2 linked regions of the Arabidopsis thaliana genome follow. The protein of the gene in region 1 interacts with the protein of each later gene in a pairwise test. Each region holds a gene or a part of one and is shown on either strand. Other genes may lie near its edges.

Evidence for each region. The genes of interacting proteins can lie anywhere in the genome.
Region 2: the proteins of ERF7 (region 1) and SNL3 interact in a two-hybrid assay, tested with the Arabidopsis thaliana proteins (one study listed by BioGRID).

Annotation. Positions count from the first base shown.
Region 1 is NC_003074.8:7,084,222-7,088,822, forward strand, and holds ERF7 (ethylene response factor 7), read right to left. Parts: upstream 2,674-4,601; 5' UTR 2,471-2,673; coding exon 1,736-2,470; 3' UTR 506-1,735; downstream 1-505. Other genes in the region: ABCI15 (trigalactosyldiacylglycerol2), read right to left, coding at 3,436-3,528, 3,627-3,717, 4,244-4,359, 4,497-4,601.
Region 2 is NC_003070.9:8,564,537-8,572,362, forward strand, and holds the start of SNL3 (SIN3-like 3), read right to left. Parts: upstream 6,001-7,826; 5' UTR 5,843-6,000; intron 5,413-5,842; 5' UTR 5,392-5,412; coding exon 5,252-5,391; intron 5,166-5,251; coding exon 4,979-5,165; intron 4,893-4,978; coding exon 4,794-4,892; intron 4,718-4,793; coding exon 4,583-4,717; intron 4,494-4,582; coding exon 4,199-4,493; intron 4,102-4,198; coding exon 3,971-4,101; intron 3,893-3,970; coding exon 3,817-3,892; intron 3,729-3,816; coding exon 3,699-3,728; coding exon of another isoform or gene 3,674-3,698; intron 3,529-3,673; coding exon 3,314-3,528; intron 3,221-3,313; coding exon 3,066-3,220; intron 2,929-3,065; coding exon 2,801-2,928; intron 2,689-2,800; coding exon 2,434-2,688; intron 2,358-2,433; coding exon 1,713-2,357; intron 1,619-1,712; coding exon 1,533-1,618; intron 1,292-1,532; coding exon 680-1,291; intron 578-679; coding exon 477-577; intron 389-476; coding exon 250-388; intron 159-249; coding exon 6-158; and 1 more. Other genes in the region: AT1G24200 (Paired amphipathic helix (PAH2) superfamily protein), read right to left, coding at 6,637-6,741, 7,095-7,163, 7,243-7,341, 7,427-7,604, 7,702-7,826. UniProt on the Arabidopsis thaliana protein: Acts as a transcriptional repressor. Interacts with ERF7 to repress genes in abscisic acid and drought stress responses. The heterodimer represses transcription by tethering SNL3 to DNA.

The DNA.
Region 1 (4,601 bases):
TAATCAATTAATTTAAATGAGTTTTCCAGGCGTCTATTATAACTTCAAAGTCTCGTTTTCCGACAATTAATATATTGTGTGATTAAGATGAAAATAAGACAACTACGACGACAAGCTAGCCAAACTCTTTTGGAAGCGAATAAAACAAGACTAGCTATTTGTGAACTTATTATTTTCTTCTTAGACTGATGATTTTACAATTGTAACAATGCACTCCTATTTAGACCAGTGATTGGCTGATGGCCAGGTTATTTTGTATAATACTCTCTAACCTTTCTCCATTTGTCTAGTTAACCTTTAGCCATTTGCCTTGTTAATTGCTCATACACTTCTTTTTCTCCTTAGTTCAAGTGTAATGTCCAAGCCATTCATTATCCATTGTCTTGTTAATGAATCCATTTGTCTCAACAGTTTTTTATATTAATTTTCTCCTTAATTCTAGAATTATCTTCAATAACTAAAGATTAGACCAAGTTGTTCTCATTTAATAGCAATGTAGAATCATTTGGAGAGAAACTATCATTTCAAAGCCGAACAACCGAATTCTCGAAAGGTTGTAAAAGTAAAAAGTAACATTGTGGATTAATCTCAACTCCAGAATAATAGAAGATTATTAAGAGTACGAACCGAAACAGGAAAAGCGACTTGAGATCAGTTGTCTTAAATCGTTACAGTGAAAATAACAAGACATTGCTTTTGACTTCCACTTTAAGTTAAGAAGAAGCCTACCCCAAAACGGTAAAAAAATACTCGGTTTTTGCTTCAGACACAAAGATTCACTGTCTGAATCCGTGGCATAGAAGCAAAGTAGATACCAAAATTGGGAAAACTCTCTACCAGCAAATTCAAATCAAAAAGGTCAAACACACAACGAATTCTGCCACCTCAACCCACAGCTCTTAAAGATCAAAACAATCATCTCAGCCACCAAACTTTAACCTAAAGATTTGGCCTGTGCTCATTGAGCTTTATCGATCACAACAAAACCACTCACCGCCCATTGACCATGCCCTTAATCTCTATGTTCTTCACCATCCAAAATATTCATTGGGTACACAAAAGGGAAAGCCTTTCTTGTCTCCTCGCTGATGAATGAAAACTTGAGGCTTAACAATGACAATGAGTATTCTAACTTCCTCTTCGAATCACCCAATTAGATAGCAAAGGAGCTTCACCGTCTTTCTTCCTTTCATCTTTTTATTGCTTCCATCTCAGAGAACCACTAAGCTTTACTTGTTGAATAGAAGAAACCCTGAATTGATCAAGATCAAGCCAAGAGACAAAACACAAACAAATACTTGTGCCCTGTGTGGTTCTGTTACATACTATGTAAATGCAGCTTCCTACTTACATCAGGGGACACTCTATGAATAAGTAGAAATCTAAAGATAATGGATTTGAATCATTCAGAAATCATCACCAGCTTCAGAATGTTATATATATGTAACAAAGGGTTGTTGGATCTTTTATAAGAAGAAACAGATAAAAATGAAACCCAGATCTGGTTCTTACAGTAACAGATCTTAACACAATCTCTCTCTCTTTTTAATCGTCATCATCTTCGTTGATGATAAAATCATCACGCTCAATCTTTTTTTTTTGTTCTTCCTTTTTTTCTCTTTCAATATGATATCAAAGGAAAATGGAAAAACAAAAGAGCATAAAGTTATCATTTTGTAAAATTTGAGAATTTTTTTTGTGTGTAATCAACGGATTTTTTTTGTAAAGCAGCAAATCAGAGACGTAGATCGGTACAGTGGAGATCATCTATCCCGCCAGCGAATAAGTCAACGCCATCCAACGGCGGGAAATTAAGATCAAACTGAAACGGCGTTTTCCGGCGGGAAGACGAAGATGCGATATCATCTCCGTCGTCAATAACAGACGACGAAGAATCGCAGTCGCTATGACAATCCTCCGGAGCTACCGGTGGAGTTCTCGGATATCTCTTAATCGCATGTAACGGTTTCGCCACCGACGAAGACGCCGCCGCGGCTTCCATCGGTCTCGGTCCGCTACAAGATTTAACGGTGCTGCTCATGCTGCTACTCGCCGGCCGACTAATAATCTGCTGCTGCTGCTGCTCCTGGAAATTACCTCCGCCGTATAACCGATGGTCCATAAACGGATCGATCTGGTTCTGAATCACCGGAGGAGAACAGAGGTTTTGATTGTGGAGGTAGGTGAGAGGTTGGAGAGGAGAAGAAGGAGAACAATCGATCGGGAAATTGGTCTTGGCCTTTGGACCACGGAGGTTACGTGCGGCGGTATCGTAAGCGCGTGCAGCATCTACGGCGGAATCGAAAGTACCGAGCCAGACACGAGATTTTTTTAATGGATCACGGATCTCAGCTGCGAATCGACCCCAAGGTCTCTTCCTAACGCCTCTATACCTCGGCTCCTTCACAGATCCACCGGCGGTTACTGGAAGGGCGGGTCCAACGACGGAAGAGCCTCTCCCTTTCCTCATGGAGAAGAAAAAAGATGTAAAGCCAGAAGTAATGTGATGAAGAAGAGATCTGTGTGTGTTTGTGTGAAGAAGAGAAGAAAATGTTGAAGAGAGAAGAAAGATGAGGAAGAAGATGAAGGAACAAAGGGTAGAGATTGGAAATTATTATTATAATTCTCTTTTTTTTTTTCTAAATAATTTACTCAAAGAATTTTCATTTAATAAATTAATTAAAATAATAATTTATGGTTGGAATAGCTTTTTCTTTTCTTTTTTTTTTTGGTTGTTAATTTCGATTTTTTCTCTACCTTCACGCCCGACCCACAAGACCGACCAATTCGTTTCTTTAAAAATTTAATTATGGAGTAACATTTTTCCTAACTTGGATTCTTTTTTTCTTTTGCTTTAAACTTTTTATTCGATATATTGTGTGGAGAAAAAAAAACAAAAAATTAAAAAAGAGTTCACAAGAGATGTCTCGAAATGCGAAGAAAGTAAAAGAGGGTAAGCACTTGCACTCTCTGTCCTGACCCTGACCACAATCTATATAATAAAATCTTATGTCTTACTGTTTGTTTGTTATCAAATTGATGCACCTAGAGACCAAATAGTCCACTTGTAATGACCAAAAACACCCTCCAGATTTTATTTTATTTTATTTAATAATACACCCCTCTTCGAAATTATTATTAGTTTCTTCTCCTTCCTTTGGGACCCTACAAGAGACGAGACGCGCTTATCGGCATCGTCGTCGTCTCCCGTGTTAAAAGTAAATGCCGTGTTGAGGATACGCATTAATGTGGAGAAACAAACATTTTTGTTCTTATAAAAACTGAATTATGTCTCTCCATTAAACCCCAATCTCAGAACACAAAACGAAAACAAAAATAACTCTAAAGAAGAAACAACACATTTTTCGAATTTTTAAAACTTGCTTACCATAAAATTCTGGATTTTATTTATCCAGTCTAAAATCTACAGGCTGATCATAGTAGCCTGCTTAGGGATTTGATGAGTAGTTTAAGGTTTTTTCTTGTGGCTTCATCTCCTGTGAATCCCAGAATATCTGAGCTTATACTCTACAATCAAGAAAATCAAAAACCAAGTCTTTGTTAACATTGTTTCTTCCAACTTGTCAAAGCTGGTATTGATAGAATAAGAAGAAAAAAAAGTTTACCTCGACGTTCTTCAAAGTATAAACCAGAGTGTAGATTGACTTCTGTATGAGTTCTGTATTCTCAGGAGTCATAATTGACGAATTAACCTTTCTGCAATGTAACCAAAATGAAAATTATATTTTTGCTGTCTACTGCAAGAATATAGGTTCTCATAATCACAGTTATCACTCAGTTGATCATACGTATGTAAGTAAACGAGCTTTTGCATATATGTGGTCCAGGAACATACATTAAGTGACAGAAACAGTAGGCTAGCAGAAGATAAGTAGAGGCAACACAAGATAAATTATTGAAATTTTAAGACAATAGAGGAAAGATTGAAAAGCACTGATGAGCAAAGCAGTTAATTTAACATGGAACCCATAAGATAAGACACATTTATGCATAGATATGTATGTGTTTTAACTTTTTAACCATCATCTCTTGTTCAGAAACTTAATCCACAAATAGAGTGTTGAAGCCACATACGAGAAATTGAAGCTAGTGTGCTTATATCTATCGTAAGGTCTGCTTTCATCATGATGCAGAAAGAGTTTTGCATTTGCACTATGGAATTCAAAATATTCATAATGATATACAGTCGATATGCCAAGATTGTTCCACTAAGAGCTATTACCTCAAATCGTCAGAAGCTTGGGTAAGGCTTCGAGTAAGACACTCAACTTCCTTGAGCAAGCCGCTATCACGAAACTCAGAGAGCAAAGGTTGAGCATCTTCAGCCATGGCTTGAATCTGTGACATCACTACATCAAAACCCAACGCATAAGCAGGAGAATACATTTTTTTCCAATCTTGAAATTCACCTATCGATTCTTTTTGAATACTGTAAACAAGATCTAAACAAAGACCACCAAAATTACTCATATCACCTTTTTGAGCAATGGCCTTGCTTCCTCAATAACCGAAGCAGCTCTCTCAGCAAGCGAATACGTATTGGCAACACCAATGGCCTCAACTTCGCGTCCAATACGAGT
Region 2 (7,826 bases), on another chromosome or scaffold:
CTTACACATTCAATACGGTAAATATTCTCATCAGGGAGGAGGACACGGGTATTATCGTAATACACAGCATCAAAAATCGTTTCAGGCCTTCTGGATTTCTCATAAAAATAAAGCTGAAGAAGCTTGTTGTCCATCTCATCAGCTACTACTACTTGTAGCTGAAGAATGACCACACGTATGTTAGTAAAAAGCAAGTAAAGATAGAGAGGTGAATACATAGAGAAAACATCAAAGAGCAAAAATACTCACATGCTTGATGAATTTATGGATCAGTTTGTCCAATGTGAAGAGAATATAAGACTGAGTCCCGATTATCGCTCGGCAGTCATCTTCAAACTTGGCATTATCAGATGTACCATCAAGTAAGTTGTAGAGTGCAGTCATGAATCTGTTCCACATTAATTAAAGTTATAAGTATGGAGCACATATGAATCCCAGAAACACACACAATCTCTGCAATAAAAAGCAAATTTCACCTAGCATAGGAATCAGTAGGATTTTTGGTATTTGAGGTCCTCCACTTTCCTTCCGGGGATGATGAGTTAACTTTTGCTGATAGTATTCTCTCATACAATATCTGTCAAGAGTAATAGCGTAAAGTTAGCTAGTGAAAACTCTTTGTACTTTAGATTATACTGTTTATAATTTTTTCAAACTGTATATGATCTTTAGCTCTTACCCGGTGCAGCCTGAAAAGCACGTAAAACGAATCATTTCCATAGAAAACTTGGGAGTTCTTCAGAGAGTCTTTGTCCTTGTCATGCAAAGCTATAGCTGAAGGAACATACTTTACTAAGGGCTTTACATGCAGCAAGAATCGTGCTGAAACGGGTAAGGCAGACCCATTTTCTTCAGCATCATGTGCATCAGCCATACATTCAGCCTCACCTTCGCTTTCTCCTTTGTTATTGTTATCCAAATCATCCTCCGGATCTTCACCACCACCAGATTCCGTTCCAGAAACATCACCGTTCTCATATTCATTTCTGCTGTCCTCTGATGATCTTGCGGCGTTTTCGTCACCTTCAGCGTCATTCTCAGCCCTTGTCTCCAGACAAGATGGTTCCCCTTCTCTACTTCTATCTCCGCTAATGTTATTTCCAGTACTATCATTCGCTTTGCTGAAGGTCTCAAAATCAGTTTTTGCATAAACTGCAAAATTATCTTCCTCAAAGTCTCCATTTGGAGAAAGTTCACCTTCTTCTCTTTCAACTTTGGATGTTCCTGCCATCTCTTGGTCACTTGTTATTTCTACCGCGATCCCATTTGTCAATAACTTCTTGTTACCAACCTGTGAGACAAAGTTTATCAGTACCACCTCTTGGTTAACACAGAACTAAGGGTGTGTAACTTCAAATTTTAAAACTATCTAAGTTCCATATGAAGGACCTAAGCACCAAGTGCAAACAATGGGAGATATTGTTCCATATCAACAAAATTCGGTCCTTCATTTGAAATGAGTCATCTATATAGAAAGTATCAGATCAAAATATAAGATGATGGGACTAAAACGTGCTTCACTGAAACTATACCTCTAATTTTGGCCCATTACCATCATTCATTTTCAACTCCAACTCTGTTCCACAGGTCACAGGCTTCAGATTATTATTGCAATGTCCTGACCAAGTAAAGAGGAAACTATTCATTAACTGTACAAAGAAAATGAAAAATTCCAAGAGAACTAACTTCTAAGCAAGATTTTGAGGTGTTACCGGTCATGTGTACTATACTGCTTCCTCCATTACTTTGATCTAATAATCCATCCACAGCGAGAGCAGTTGAATCGTGTGCACGCTCAATAGAAACAGCTTGCTTGCTTTCAGGCTTTTCATCAGACGTAACTACATTCTTCAGCATTTTCTCATGCTGAGCAGTCTCACATAAGGCATCTGATGTCCTACCAGCGGCGCCATCCCTCTCCGAATTACTAGTTTGCCCCAACTGACTATGTTCATTAGCTTTTCGAGATGACTTTGAGCGTCTAGAGTCGGCAACACTAGCGTAATTGTGAGGACTTCCCTCACTCTCGCCAGCACTTGAACTACCGCTCTTTACATTCTGGTTCATGGACTTGACAACGTCTTCTTGGTCTTCAGCACCTTGAGGGCGAGAAGGAACACCAAATATTTGTTCCACGAAAGTTGTCCAAATCTTCATTACCTTATCTAACTGTTCGGTAGAGCACATTTCTGCACACGAATATTTGATCAGCTGGTAAAGATCTTCATGAAGGTCATGATCCGGATAATCAAACTCCAAATCTGGGGAAATGGATAGTCTATTTCCGGCTGCAAATGCAAGAAGTGAATCATCCTCTCGCTTCTTTTCAGTAATCTCTTTTATCTCTGCCAACAATGCTACAGAAAAAATATAGTACATAAAGTCACTTGCTTGATATAATAGAATAATGTGTGTAATAGGTTACGGACAAACCTTTCATGCTCAGCTTCTTTGAATCCTGCTGTTTGAAGTAGAAACTTCGATGATCAAGCGACTTGTAGTAATTCTTAGCATATATCTCAGCCCAGACTTTGTCAAAATCAGAACGACACCTTGCCCACTCTTCTTGCTTCTGTTTCAAACGTGTTAGGATAACAGGTAAAGCAAGAGACACGTTCTTCTTCAGCACATCCATCACATCGAGCCCGTGATCACCATACAACCGTTCTATGCATCTTAAGTTTAGAGCTACAAAGACAGTAACAAAGCAATCCATTAAAAAAAAAAAAAAATTTAAAGAGCTCAGCTGCTAGTGATTTAACATCCATGCTGCTTATTGTTTTACACCAGCTTATGTTACCTGTGAGGTGATCCTCGACACGGATGGGACTGTTGGTTTTCAGTTCATTACTGTTAATTTTTGTCAATAATTCTTCCACATGCTTTGTCGTTGAATTTACAGACTCTAATAGCATGTCCAGCTCAAACCTATAGCATAAAGAGAGGAATAATGGCTCACAATTTGACACAGAAAATGGCTCACAATAACAGGTCAGTAACCAATTTTTTTTTTTAAAGTATGGAATATAGGTTTCCAGTCCACCATTAGAAGTTGATTAACCAACCTGTCATCCTCACATTTGAAGAGGCTCTCTTCATACTGGTTCTTACGCATGTGGCTAAATGAATAATCTTCACTTCCTGATGTGACGGAGACCCAGTGATCATTAAGAACCAGTTTACCGATCTCTGTCTTCTGGCTTGCAATAGAAATTGGGTACTGCAAAAAGTATAATGTCTTACATTAGACTAATGAAACAAAAGATGAACTCAAGAATAGTAGATCCACATATAAAAGGCTGCAGCCACATACATTCTTTGGAAGTAACCGATAACTAGGAGTGCATTGTTCACAGTTCGAGAGATCTAGTTCACTGATTGGCTTTGCCCATTTCAGATTTGCAGCTGCTTTTTCAAGCCTTTCCTTTTCATGATCTCTATCTCTAAGCCCGTCATCTCTCTTATGTTCCTGGTCTCTATCATTGTCCAGTGACGGTTGAGGATATTTGCCTTCACTCCACAAGGATTCTGCAGTATAGTTTAGAATGGATTTGTTTTCTTTTCAGAACTAGAAATGGATATATCTGGAAAGAAGATCAAATTTCATAGTGGAGTTGTGTAGTTTCACTACTCGTGAATACTTCAAATATATCTCAGCATCAGATTCATGTACCCTTGCAAAAGATAAGTAGACTTACTCTTAGTCAGAATACCAGAGAGCAGTCCTTCTGCAAGAAGATTCAAAAGGTTACAAATCTGTCTTTTTTCTGAAATCAATGAATGTAGGAAGAGAGAAACATAGATTTGCCTCGTTACCATTCTTTTCACATTGCACCAAAAACTCTATAAAGGAATCCATGAGGTCAGGATATACTCCGATTAAATTCCCTACCTGATACAAGCACAAATGTTCATGAATCATTGCAAACAAATGCCACAGTGAAAATTTAAGCATTTTATTTATTCATACCAAAGATTGCAGTTCTGGTCGGCTGATTATCTCTTTTGAAAAGAGATTAAGACAACGTAAAAACTCCTGGTACTCTGAGGCGTTAAGCTTTTCCTTTACTCTATCGACAATAGCTAGATCTTGACTGTAACCTGACATCACATCAAACAAATATAAGTACACATGGAATAGCGAACGACAAACTCACTCCTTATCTTTCAAATTAGTTGTCATAAAACGAGAACTCACTTTTCATGGCACCTTTTTCATCATAAGTAGATGAACTAGGAACCGCTCCAGAAAGTTTACTTTGATTGGAAATTTCAGCAGGATCATCGCCTCTAATATGTAGTTTCTGCTTCTTGTTGAGAAATTGCTCTTTTTTGCTATGTGGTTCGAAATCTCTGGCATCCCTATGCTCATTTTCTTTGTTAGTACCTCTCATGTGTTCTTTATTTTCTTTCTTAATAGGTCTCTCCCGGTCCTGGTCAATATGTTCAGTACCATAGTCATGGTCAGGATGTGGAGTAATGATCCGGTCCTTCTGCAACAATTTCCAATCAAATGATGTTCAATAAAAGATTAGACATATAGAACATTGTATTTCTAGGAAAATAAAAGTCTGAGAAGAACCTTATCAGCCAGAGAAACCCCTCTCTCACGAACTGAAGTTTTAACAGATGGAATAGAGGCCGTTGCTGAAGTATCAGGTAGAAAGTGAGTAAACTCCACGAGCAGATCTGAATGATCCCGAAATAGGATCGCAACCTGAGATAGACATGTAAAACCTAAGTACAGAATAGCAACAAAAAAAAGATACACATAACAGCATCAATGAGCCTACCTCCTGGTAGACCTCAGTGATGGACTTGCTATCCCTTCTGTACATGTTTAAAATGTCTAAAAATGATTTGTATACACGATCATCTCCCTGAAACCTTGTCTGCAAATCAATGAATATCGAAGAGAGTAAGAAAGGGAAAAGCAGTAATTTCCTTGAGACAGTTTAGCACATAAACATATATATACCTTAATCTTGTTAACAAAGCTAATAGCTTCCTCAAACTCAACACGTTTCTTCAGTGGAGGTTGTCCATCCTCAGGTTGAAGTGTGATCTCAAAACCCTTAGGCAAGAAAGTATTAAACCCCAAAATCAACTCTTGGTGTCCTTTGAAAAGTTCTTTTACCCTAGTTATCACACCAGCTGTATCAACTCTACAATGAAAAACACAATTAAGCAATCAGTTCTCAGATACCAAGTTTTTAACCTAAACATAACAAGGAGAAGAAAAAAACTATACCTTTGAGATTTAAAATTCTTCATAACCTCGAGAAACTCGTCATATTTTCCACGTTGATCCTGAAATTTGTCCTTCACGGCTTTAAGATATGCAAGAGCGTCGTTTGTAGTTAGCTTCTGAGCACTTCCTCCTCCAACCATGGTGTTTGAAGTTGAACAGAGCTTCATTACCATTAAAAAAAACAGATCATTTAGAAAGCTATTCAACATCTCATAAGACCAAAGAACGTTTCTTTAGAGAATTCAAGTAAAATTTGGGATTCAGCAAAAGAACAAAAGCTGAAAACAACTTTCTTCATGTTCATCTACAAATCAAAACCTAGTAAAACTCAAAATCAATCACATAAACAAGGAAAATTCAAAGAACCGAACTTGAATTTCATCCCAATAAGCAACACCTGTAGATCTAGCAGCTACAGAAACAATTTATGAAGAAAAAACAAAAGGAGACGGACCAGAAAAAATCGATCTTAACTTAATCCTCAGATTATTTCACATTCAGTTCACGATTAAAATTGTAATACCCAAAAATCAAACAGAAAGGATAAAAAACGAAAGAAGATCATCATCGTTTATGTGTTAGAGAGTTTACCGAAGAAATTCAGAGAAGACGAAGAAGAAGAAGAAGAAGAAGTCTAGAAGAAGAAGCTTCCTCCGACGAAACAGCTGAGAAGACAAAAACTATTCAACAATTTTCAGACAGAAAGAAAAGACTCACTGAGCAAACGAGAGTTTTATGTTTTTATGAAGAAAGGATTGAGATTTCTCTCAAAGGAGTTTTACGTCTTCTTAAGTAAATTAAAATCTACATATTTAATACACTTTCTCGTTCGCTAAATTTTTCGTTTACTTACTTATTTCATTTTTCTGTTGACAAAAAATAAAATAAAAATCAAAGTTGTATTTTCTTGTTTTTATTACTTCCTTTTGTTGGTTGTATCATTTTAGGAGACTTATAATTTATCTTCTTCTTTTATTATTTTTAACATTTTTTTTCTTTTGGAAGTTTTTATCTCCTTTGGTATGTGAGAGAGACATACTTAATTTTGAAAATTTTTGATATAAAATAAATTATTCATTTTTTTTGGAAATAATTTTGTAATTAAAAAGTTTTAGATGATTAATCATATTATTAATAGATGTTTTTTTTCTCTTTATTTTGGTCAACATAGATGTTTTTTCTTAAAATTTCTAAGTTAATTACTTAATGCAAAACCTATCAAAATTATTAATGGGGAAAAAATGTTCTAAAATCATTGATGTAAATGGAATCTATATTACATTACACGGTTAGATTTTGCTTAAATCTAAAAAATAATATTTGGCTAACATTAATAGAAGAATAATTTAACTCTAACTTGATTAAAACCATAAAAACGGAACATATTATTCGCCTTTTAAATTCATTTTTTTTTTATCGGCATTACTATCTTTCCGGTAGACCGAAAACTTTGTCACCTTGTTCGTAGAATAATTCCGATAACCCTTATCCTCATGTTACACATAGTAAACTCATAGGTAAGCATTGAAATAACTAGGTAAAAAAAAAAGCATTGAATAACTATAGATGATGGTAATTTTGAATTTTGATAGTGGCTATAATTTATAGGGAAAAGAAAGCTATTAATCATGCATATTAAAAAGAAAAAACCTCTACTATTATCTCTGACTTGTAACTTTAAAAAAAAAAAACTACTTATATGTGAAGCGATTGAAGTAACATAGCAATCCTTTCGTCACAAAAAACTCTGAGAAATAGTTGGCAGAAAGCAATCCAACTCTTCAAGCAAATCAGGATGATCTATGCAAAACTGTGAATGCAACAAGGCTGTTGCTGGAGTAGCTGGAGTAGCAGGCAGAAAGTGAGTAAACTCCACAAGCAAATTGTTATGATCTAGAAATAGGATGGCAACCTGATAAGATAAACGTGTGAAACTAAGTAAAATATTAGCAATAAAAAAAAAAAAACTTAGTATGAATCAATGAGCCTACCTCCCGGTAGACCGCGGTGATGGGCTTCCTATCCTTTCTGTACATGTTTAAAATGTCTAAAACTGATTTGTATACACGATCATCGCCCTGAAACCTTGTCTGCAAATGAATGAATAACTAAGAGAGTAGGAAAGGGAAAAGCAGTAATTTCCTTGGACAGTTTATAACACATAAACATATATACCTTAATCTTGTTAATAAAACTAATTGCTTCCCCTAACTCGACAGGTTTCTTCTGTGAAGGTTGTTCATGATGTGTGATCATATAACCATTTGGTAAGAAGGCATTGAAACCCAAAAGTAATCCTTGTTGTTCTTTCAAGAGTTCTTTCATCCTTATTATAACACCAGATATATCAATTCTATACAACACAATAGTCGGTAATCAGTTCTCAGAAACCATGGAGTTTTACCTAAACCAAGACCAAATGCAAACATAAAAGTAGAAAGAACTTTAACCTCTGAGTTTTATAATCTATCATGATCTGAAGAAACTCGTCATATTTTTCACGTTGACCTTGAAATTTAGCCTTCACGGCTCTAAGGTATTTAAGCGCGTCATTTGTAGTAGGCTTGTGTGCGCC